Cricetulus griseus: one gene and its partner. The protein of the gene in region 1 interacts with the protein of each later gene in a pairwise test. Links are inferred from orthologs where the notes say so. Each region holds a gene or a part of one and is shown in the gene's direction. Other genes may lie near its edges.

Evidence for each region. The genes of interacting proteins can lie anywhere in the genome.
Region 2: the proteins of Arhgef2 (region 1) and Rpp25l interact in binary tests that used the Homo sapiens proteins (3 or more experiments, as listed by UniProt). The two-hybrid records come from large-scale screens. The link is inferred for Cricetulus griseus from reciprocal best matches to the Homo sapiens genes ARHGEF2 and RPP25L.

The regions. Positions count from the first base shown.
Region 1 is NW_023276806.1:65,903,688-65,909,103, reverse strand, and holds the start of Arhgef2 (rho guanine nucleotide exchange factor 2), read left to right. Parts: upstream 1-1,709; 5' UTR 1,710-1,939; intron 1,940-5,416. UniProt on the Homo sapiens protein: Activates Rho-GTPases by promoting the exchange of GDP for GTP.
Region 2 is NC_048595.1:100,887,398-100,891,985, forward strand, and holds Rpp25l (ribonuclease P protein subunit p25-like protein), read left to right. Parts: upstream 1-1,903; 5' UTR 1,904-1,940; coding exon 1,941-2,072; intron 2,073-2,088; exon of another isoform or gene 2,089-2,281; intron 2,282-2,487; coding exon 2,488-3,012; 3' UTR 3,013-3,285; downstream 3,286-4,588. Other genes in the region: Dctn3 (dynactin subunit 3), read left to right, coding at 16-75, 241-330. UniProt on the Homo sapiens protein: May be a component of ribonuclease P or MRP.

The DNA.
Region 1 (5,416 bases):
AAACAGGAAGACAGCGATGGCTTCCACACGTCACCCCTTAGAAGGTCTGGGGCTTTCAGAGCCCATAGCCACACCAGTGATCCCTTCAAAAGGCACAGTTGGGGGCCTGGCAAGGAGTTCCAGGACCCTGTGAGCAGGTGAGTCCTCAGGGGACCTCCTGAGCCTCCCTTCAGCATCTCTAAACCTTGGAGAAAGTGTTTGAAAGGCATATCCTGGTATCTTTGCCCCTGTGGTCTCTCTGGAGAGACAAGGATCTCTGAAGAGGAGTTCAAAGCTCTCTTGGAGAATAACAGCCTGGCCTGTGATGAGCCCTGGGGAGGACAGACACAGCCTTCTAAAACAGGGCTCTCCACAGTGGTACTCACTCCTTCCCATTATCACCCAGGCAGGTGGGGTGGTGGTGGGAAGGAGTACTGACTGGCCCTTTGAGGGACGTGGGTAGTACTTCCCCAGGCTTCTGCCACCCTACTGGCTCCAGGCCGAGGCAGACCCACGTCCTGGACACAGCTGCAGCCAAAAACAGCTGTAGTTTTTTGTTTTTCTTTGTTTTTGTTTTTCGAGACAGGGTTTCTCTGTGTAGCTTTGGAGCCTATCCTGGCACTTGCTCTCTGGAGACCAGGCTGTCCTCGAACTCACAGAGATCTGCCTGCCTCTGCCTCCTGAGTGCTGGGATTAAAGGCGTGCGCCACCAATGCCTGGTCTTTTTGGGTTTTTCGAGACAGGGTTTCTATGTGGCTTTGGAGGCTATCCTGGAACTAGCTCTTATAGACCAGGCTGGTCTTGAACTCACAGAGATCCATCTGCCTCTACCTTCCGAATTCTGGGACTAAAGGCGTGAGCCACTACTGCCTGGCAACAGCTATAGTTTTATGTTTGTTAGATTGTCTGGTTTTTGTTTATTTTTGAGACAGGTTTTCTGGTAGCTCAGGCTGGCCTTAAATTCCTGATTCTCCTAACCCTCTCTCAAGTGCTGAAATGACAGGCATAGGCCACCATGCCTGACTGGGGACAGCTGCCTTTGCTCAGGACTCTAGACATGCTTAGCAGGCTTGGGGAGAGGGACCCTTGTCTTCCCTATCTCCTGGAAAATCCCTGACCACTTCCCCAAAATAGAGGAAGTAAAAAAAGAGAAGGTCAGGGGAGGGGGTTAGCCACGTGAGTCCGGTATGAGCGGTCATCTCCAGGGCCAACTACCGCCAAGGCATAGTCTCTTGACTTGGGTATGGTCTCCTTAGACAACCCCTCAGCATTCTTCAGCTCTTGGGCATGGACACAGGGGGTTTGCTGGCTGAGGGAGATGGACACAGGGGGTTTGCTGGCTGAGGGAGATGCTCCCTGAGGCTTTGTCCCAGCACTGGTTTTGTGGGAATTCAGTGAACAGCAATGCCTTCCCACAGGCCTGGCTGAAGGCAGAGTGCCGTGAATCCCTTTCCTGATGCCTGCCTACAGTTTCTCTCGATTCTAAAGTGTCACCCATCCTTCATGAACAGACATTAATTCTGTACCTCAGGTGCAGAGGGAATGAATGCTGGCCTCACCATAGCTGAGTAAGAGGAGAGGTTGCCACCAAACAACAGGGAATTCAGCTTTCCCTTCCCCCTTCCTTCCTGGAGGGCACTTTGCACCAGCAGGGGCCGCTCTTGTCTGAAGTCAACTGTGCCAGCATCAAGCTTAGTTTGAGTTTGAGCTGTGCCTATGCTAACAGGAAGGGCTGGGCTGGGGGCAAACAACAGGGCTGGGCCGAGGAACTGTTCGTTCCTGGTGCCCATCACTGACTACTGGCTACAAGGGCAGTGGTGGCAATGTGTGTTTCAGGAGGAGACTGTACTCATCGGGATGCCCAGATTCCCAGGAAGACCCCTTTCTGCAGAGCCACGAGGAACTGGACACCCTCCTGGGACCGCAGCAGCAGCAGCAGGGTGGCCAACCCTCCTACCCGGTATGACAGATAGACCCCTCAGCCAGGCCACTGCCTGGCTCGCCCGCCTCCCCTGCCAGCAGCCACTCTGTGCCTCTTCTGTTCCATCAGCTGCCGAGTCTCTCTGTGCCCGGACCTGGCTCTGGCTCCATCTGGGCCTGTCTGAATCTATCTTCTGTGACCCTCTGTCTGCTTCCCTGAGTCTGTGTGTGCTGTCCCCTGAAGCTCTTTCTGTAGCACTGTTTCTTCTTTTCCGTGGCTGTCTCTCTGTATTGATATGGGTCTCTGTCCCCTCCCCTTAGTTATAAGACCTCTGTCCCTTGGGTGACTATGACGGATTCTTTCTGTGTGCCCCACATTTCCCACAGTTGGAACTGAACTTATTATTTGTGCGAAGAGACTCAGCATCTGGTACCCTGAGAGACACAGCAGCTCTCAAATGAGATCTTAACAGGAATAGCGATTGAGAAAGAATACAGAGCCTGAGTGTAGGTGATGCTGGGTCACTGGGTTTAATCTCAGCAATAGAAGAAGGATGGAAAGGAAGGGAAGGAAAGAGGATGCAGCAATTGCTCAGCTTTCTGGATGAGCTGATGAGTGGTGTTCCAGAATATAAGGATAGAGGCCTGAGAGGACCCCCTGGCTCCACAGCTAGTGTCCTGTACTCCAGAGGGAGCCTCAAGTGGCTGAAGATCCCCTCTTGCGCCCACTCCCCAGCTGCCCAGGAGCTCTAACCTGACCCTCACGTTAGAGTGTCTAGGGGTGAAAGAAAGGGCTGGCTGGGAGAAAGAAACTATGGCCAGCCTTCCAGGCCAGTAGCAGGACCCCATCTTACTCCAGCTCTGTTTCTCTCCACCCACATCTCTCAAAGTGTCCTCTGACTCCCCTATTTTAGCTGAGAGATTATAAAGAGCAGGCTTTCACTGCTAGACCTTCCTCACTTAGCAGCTGGTGCACTTACCTCATCTTTCCCCAATCAGAAATCAAACTGCCTTATAGTTGCAGTTATTAGGAGAACGGCCTTAGGTTTCCTGACCCAGAGGCTGGCACAGGAGGTGAGTTCAGTAAAGAATGGCATTAGGCATTAAAACTGCCCGACTCAGAGGCTGGCACAGCATGGGTTCTCTTCTTGAGTCTCTTCCCTTTTAGCTCAGTCCCTCTTTCCTCTCTTCTCATCTTATCCCCTCCCTTCTTCATATTAGGGTTTCTTCTCTCTCGCTCTTTTCTGGTTGCTCCCGTATTTGTTACATCCCTCTTCTCCCCTCATCTAATCTCTAAGGCCTCCCCTTAATATTCTCCTTGCCTCAGGGCTTGAGGATCTTGTTTTTCTTTCTTGTGGCATTCCTCCAAAGCCAAAAATCTGATTCTCGGGGGGCTAGATAGGGACTGCAAACTGACATCTATAAGCAAAATCTCATTCCAAAGTTGATCTTTTCACACTGTAAAGGAATGTGTGTGTGTGTGTGTGTGTGTGTGTGTGTGTGTGTGTGTGTGTGTGTGTGTGTGTGTGTTCATGTGTATACACATGTGCGGGTTGGTTACAGGGGTGCTGGAATCTGGACTCTGGGCTACTCACTCTCTTGACTGCACAGCCACCTCTGTGGCCCTAAACTTCTAGGCTGTAACTTTGTCCTCTGCTCTACAGCTGGCTACAGCCACTAATATGCTCTTGTATTTTTCCTTTGCTTTTGGTTTTATCTCATTTTTTTTTCTTTTATGTGAGCTAGATCTAGTTATATAGCTCAGGCTAGCCCCCTCAGTCCTCCTGCCTCTGCCTTTCCTAACTCTGGGATCACAGACACACACCACACCAGGCCTTTTCTGTTTTGTTTTTGTGTCTTGAGACTATGTAGTCTTAGATGGTTTGGAACTTGGCAAGTAGACCAGGCTCACCTCCAACTTGTGACGATATTCCTGACTCTTAAGTGCAAAGATTATAGGCATGAACCACTACCTCCAACTTTGGCTTTTTTTTGTTTTGGTTTTTTGAGACAGGGTTTCTCTGTGTTGCTTTGGAGCCTGTCCTGGCACTCACTTTGTATACCAAGCTGGCTTCCAACTTACAGAGATCCACCTGCTTCTGCCTCCTGAGTGCTGGGATTAAAGGCATGCACCACCACCACCCAGCTCTTTCATCATCATCTTTTTTTTTTTTTAATGTATTTATTGGGACCAGTCTGGTCTATAAAGGCCTTCCAGAATTCTTAGGCTACCGCTGCCTTCCAGGTACTGGGATTAAGTGTGTGTGTGCCACCAGACTCAGATTAACTTTTTTCTTTGTTAAACATCTATTTGTTTTATGTGCAGGGACGGGCACACACAGGCCACTGTGTCTATATGAAAATCAGAGGACAGCTTTCAGGTGTTGGCTCTCTCCATCCATTACAAGGGCTTTTTAAAAATATATATTTATTTTATGTCTATGGGTGTTTTGCCTGCATATATATTTGTGTAGTACCTGTGTGTCTTGGTGTTTATGGAAGCCAGAAAAGGGAGTTGGATTCTCTGGGACTGGAGTTGAAGACAGTTGTGAGCTGCCATGTGGATTCTGGGAATTGAATTCAGGTCCTCTGGAAGAGCAGCCAGTGCTCTTAACCTCTGAGCCATCTCTCCAGGACCACTCCCCTCAGTTACATAGGCTTTGAGGCTCACACTGAAGCTAGCAGGCTTTATCCACTAAGTCCTCTTCCAGGCCCTCCCTTTCCTTCCAACCATGGGTAACATCATGATGAATACTTATCATTTCCCTTTTTAAAAATTTCCTTAATACAAAATGTGTATTTTACCAAAGTATAATAAGTTTTATTGAAGAATTTAAAAGCAGTGATGACATATTTTATAAAATTTTCTAGGTCTTGCTTTTTCTTGTGTGTTGTGTTTAAGACAGAGTCTTGGCTGGTGTCAATCTTGTGCTCCCCCTGCCTAAGCACCAAGAGCCAAGGTTTACAGGGGGCACCCTCTTCCTAAAATGTGCAGGGTGCACCTCCTGCCCATCAGCATAATTTATAATCGATGCTGTGATTTATTTTTTGCAAATTGTTACAGTCATTTGCTTGTATTTTACTTCTATTTTTTTTTTTTTAAGACAGGGTCCTACATAGCCCAAGCTAGCTTGGAAGTCTCTATGGAGAGGAGGATAACCCTGAACTCCTGACCTTCCAACCTCCACCTCCCAAGCTCTGGGATGATAAGCATGGACTACCATGTCAGTTTTCTGTGGTACTAGGGACGGAAGCTAAGACTTGGTTATGCTGAATAAGCACTCTACTAGCTGAACTATGTCCTTAGCCCTATACTTCCTCCCCTTAAGTTTATTATTAGGGAGAACATACGTGGAGGTCAGAGGACAAGTCTGTGGCAAGATTTTTTTTTTTAATTTTTTGAGACAGTTTTTTTTTTAAGGTCAATGAATTATTTAATTGTCCCTAATTTTCTTTTTTTATTCCCCCCTTTTATTAGAAAGAAAAGTATTCTACATGTCAATCCCAGACCCCTCTC
Region 2 (4,588 bases), on another chromosome or scaffold:
TGCTTTGGCCTACAGGACCAGTGTATGGAGATCAGTGAGGAGTCCAAGGCTCTCCTGGAGGAATATAACAAGACTGTATCTTTTGTGCTTAATGGGCCCTCTCCCAAAGCCTGTTTCTGCTGCCCCTAATGCGCCCATCCCATTCTCTCCTCTCCTCTCCTGCCTTCACCGCTTTGGGCACATGCCAAATCTCTGTGCTTCCTCATTCACACTCCTGTTGTCACCTTGACTTCTGACCAGACAATGCTTCTCTCCAAGCAATTCGTGCAGTGGGATGAACTACTCTGCCAGCTAGAGGCTGCCAAGCAAGTGAAGCCAGCAGAAGAATGACAGTTGCTTACTGTGCCAGGCCAGGGAAAGGGGGGCCAGCTCCAGGGCCCTGTGCCACCCTGTCTTTGTGAGGCAGAGACAGCTTTGTATTTATTCAATTCAAAGACTACCTGTCTGCTCAGTTGGGGCTCTGAGGTCAGAGATCAGGTTACCTTAGAGTCATGATTTGCACTCCCCATCAGTGTATTTATTCCAATGACAATAAACTGTAGCTACCGCTGAAGGTGTGTTTTGGCTTGCTGATCTAAGATGGGCTTGGCTGTGAGAACTGGAATGGTGAAGGGGAGAGCTGTCACTATCAGGGTGGGACCTGGAACTACTCCTGGTCGAGCTTCTGAAAGATGTAGTACTCTTGCATCTGATTGATACAGTGGGGCATTGTATATTTATCCCACATTTTCCAACTGCCCTCTAAATATCAGATCCTACGGCACGTAAGGAGGGCACAGGTAGGGTCACCTCATTTCTGTATAGGGTTTGGGGGAAGACCAAGAAAGTGGTAGTCCTACCAGGTGGGGCTCAGCATGCCAGGATGATCATGGAGGAACAAGCAGGGACGTTCAGAGCCAAGGCAGCATAGCCTTGTGTCTACCGAATACCAGAAGAGGAGCCAAGAGGCTTGGATGCAGTGAATTTTAGGATCTGGGAAGGAGGAGCAGATGATGGGAAAGCTTGGATGAACAGTTTAAGCACCGCGCTCCACCAAGTGTATGCTGCCCTCTTGTGGCCTGAGGGAGTGCCTCGGCTCCTTCAACTGCCTGTAGACCAACCAATTTGTAGTTTTGCTGGCACGCAAAATGCAGCTTGTCCAAAACGATCTGAAACTAGCAGTCATCCTAGACTATTCCAACAAATAGTTCCCGGCTCTTTCCCAGAACTTCCTACGAGTTTTTACCAAGTTAATTAATCTCTTCTCAATTCTTGCCATTTCGGTGGTTAATCAACATGTTGGACAGATGTTGCAGAACCTGTTTCACTCTGAGTACTGTACTAGGTTCCGTGGGCACCCTCCTACCCCCGCGCCTGACGCGTTATGATGGTGCAGGGTACAGACCCTTCCCAAGGTCACGGTATCTGTTGCCCCCACTACCGGATCCTCCTAGCCTATACGCCAATCTATGGCCAATGAGTTGTGCACAAGTTATGGCTTAGTCCCTTCTGAAGACTACCAGGGTTGTCCAGTGCCCCAGGATGAGAACAAAGCTCAGAACTAAGGGTCTCGCCCGCTTGTATCCACCAATGCTTCAGCTTCTCCTTCACCGATGCGGTGAGTCAACAGGTGACGCGCACCATCCATCGTTTAAGGGCACAGATTCGCATTCTTCATGCTCAGGACTCCTCCGATAGCCATTCCTCTCCCGGGCAGGGCCCTCTGCGGGTTCTGGCGTGCTTCGGCATCACCGCGGACCGCGGGATGCGGGCCAGCTGCGGGTACCAGCTCAGCTGAGCCCAACGGCGTCCCGGGTTTCCCTCAGGCCCCGCCCCCTGCGTGCGCGCTCCCGCGGCCCCGTGCGCTCCCGGTCTGCGCGCCATCTTGGGTCGAGCGTGGACGGGCGGTAGTGGTAAGAGCCAAATCCCAGGGCCTGGGTACTCAGACGTGGGGAAAGGGGATGTCTGCTGCCTGGGACAGCGGCCCACGACCGGGGAGCCCGCCAGACCGTCCATGTTTGGTCCGAGCAGTGGTCTGTGCGAGCCCCCACTCTCGAGTTCCCGAATGGCCTGGCTCAAGCCCCCCAACCCTGGTAATCTAAGGATGAAGTCTACTCAGCCGGCCGAGAGCCCGGAGGGGCCGGTTCTTTCTTTAGGGAGTACTTTGTGAGAGTTCGTGGCTGTGCCCCAGGCAGCCTGGGGCCAAGTCTTGATTCTGTTTCCTGGAAGCACACAGTGAGAGGAGCTTGTCCGAGTCCTTGGAAGCCTAGTGAGGAAAGGCTCCTGTTTTAGAGAGTTGTGGGTGAGGAGGGGTCTGGCCTAGCCCTGAAAAGCTTGAGCTGATGAAGCATGGCCCTATCCCGGATAGCCTGGTTTGGGGAGTGGGGGGAGTTTGGTTCTTTCCGTGTGTAAGACTCTCCAGCCTTGGGGTGAGGGGTATATCCTGGAGGGAGTGATGGAGGATGGACCTGGTCATAGTCCTGACACTCATCTGACCGCTTCCCCCAGTGCACAGCAAGAGAGATTCACCAAGGCCACCGGAGCAGAATGGAACACTACCGGAGGGCTGGCTCTGTAGAGCTCCCAGCATCTTCACCAATGCCCCAGCTACCTCCTGACACCCTGGAAATGCGAGTCCGAGATGGGAGCAAAATCCGAAACCTGCTAGGACTGGCTTTGGGTCGTTTGGAGGGGGGGAGCACAAGGCATGTGGTGTTCTCAGGCTCTGGCCGGGCAGCTGGGAAGGCTGTCAGCTGTGCAGAGATTGTCAAACGGCGGGTCCCAGGCCTCCACCAACTCACCAAGCTTCGTTTCCTGCAAACTGAGGACAGCTGGGTCCCAACCTCACCAGACACAGGCCTAGACCCCCTCACAGTTCGACGTCACGTGCCTGCAGTGTGGGTGCTACTCAGTCGGGACCCCTTGGACCCCAGTGAATGTGGCTACCAACCCCCGGGAGCGCCCCCAGGCCTGGGCTCCATACCTAGCTGTGGTCCCAGACCCCGAAGAAGGGCTCGGGACACCCGGTCCTGAAGACCTGCTGAGCCTGACTGTACTCTAGACCTGATTCTCTGTGCCTTCTGTAAGAAGGGCTTGTGTGACACTTAACATGCCAGCAAGGCTTGAGTCCACTGGAGTCCTGCCTCCCCTCCCCCCTGGGATGCGGGATGCTATGAAGAATGAAGGGCATATGGGGTCAGTGCTGAGTTACAGACTGCTTGAGAAGGGCTTACTCTGTCTACAGTATATCTGACTTGCCTTTTTTGACATCAGTCTAGGAGAGGGAAATAAAGGTCATGCCCATTTGTTTGGCCTGCTTGTGTGTAAGTGGGATTGGAGGGGTGTGAGGCCCGCCTTGCCCCGGAGCTCATGGCCTGGAGGCCAGAAGGGTAGGTAGAGGCCGCTGCTGGGTGGATCTGGTGTCAATACATTTCAAGCAGTCACCTGCATGACTTTTTGCCACCTGCTTTAAGCTGGCTTGGGACTCAACCAGGTCAGGCATTTCTCCCATCTGTGTCATATGTTTTAGAATAGTGGGATCATGAACTCGGGCTTTGCCTGTCACGGTTTTAGTCCTGGCTCTCCCACTCACAAGTTACTGCTTTGTAGTTTTGGATAAAGCTACTTCCTGGACCTTTGTGCTCCCATCTGTAAAATGGGGTGTAGAGGGTTTACCTCATTGGCATTCTTTTTTAATAATTTATGTTCATTGGTGTGAAGATGACAGATTTCCTGGAGCTGGAGTTACATACAATTGTGAGCTGCCATGTGTGTGCTGAGAATTGAACCCAGGACCTCTGAAACAGCAGCCAGTGCTCTTAACTGCTGAGCCATCTCCAGTCCGCCCCCCCCCCATTAGAGTTCTTATAAAGAGGTGTCCATATTTGACACTCAGATACCACCTGAGCACCTGATGCTATATAAATGTTGTAAGTGACTTAAGTTTACAGACATGCTGTTTTTTATCTTGAAAGTAGACCTCAATCCCACATCTTTCTTTGGGTGTCATTCTTGCCTTTTTTCCATTGCTGTTTTTTTCTGCCTCACTTTGGCCTTGGATTCAGATTTACTGCAGGTATCTGAAGAGAGAGAATGGTTATATTGGTAGTCAGCAGGCTCCAGGTAATAGAGTGGAATTGTAAGCGGCAGTGGTCTCAAGAGTTGATCAGCTACACTGTGAATCAAGATTTTCTCCAGGGTGTCTAGTAACCTGGATGTCCAATTACACGCAAATAAAACTGGGGCTCTGTTGGGTTCATGTAGCAGGATCCAGCTAGTTGAAGGTGTTAGGCAGTTTTTCTCAGTCTGGGCAGGAGAGATTGGCATGATGGGAAAAAGTTGGGGAAATTCAGGACTTGATATGGGCTTCAAGGAGGGATGAGTGACCATAGGACCATGGAACTGTGGCCTGAACTTTAAACACTACATCCTTTGCTTTCCAAGGTAAGCTGTCCCTCAGTGAGAAGGGGCTTGAGGGAAAGGGGCAAGTCAGGATATTGGGAGAGGTGAAATCTCGGTAGCTACTCTACCAGACCCTTTAAATACAGAGGATCCTGAAACAGGTAACATAACTGCTGAAGACAGTTAAACTGCCGTGCCGTGTTATACT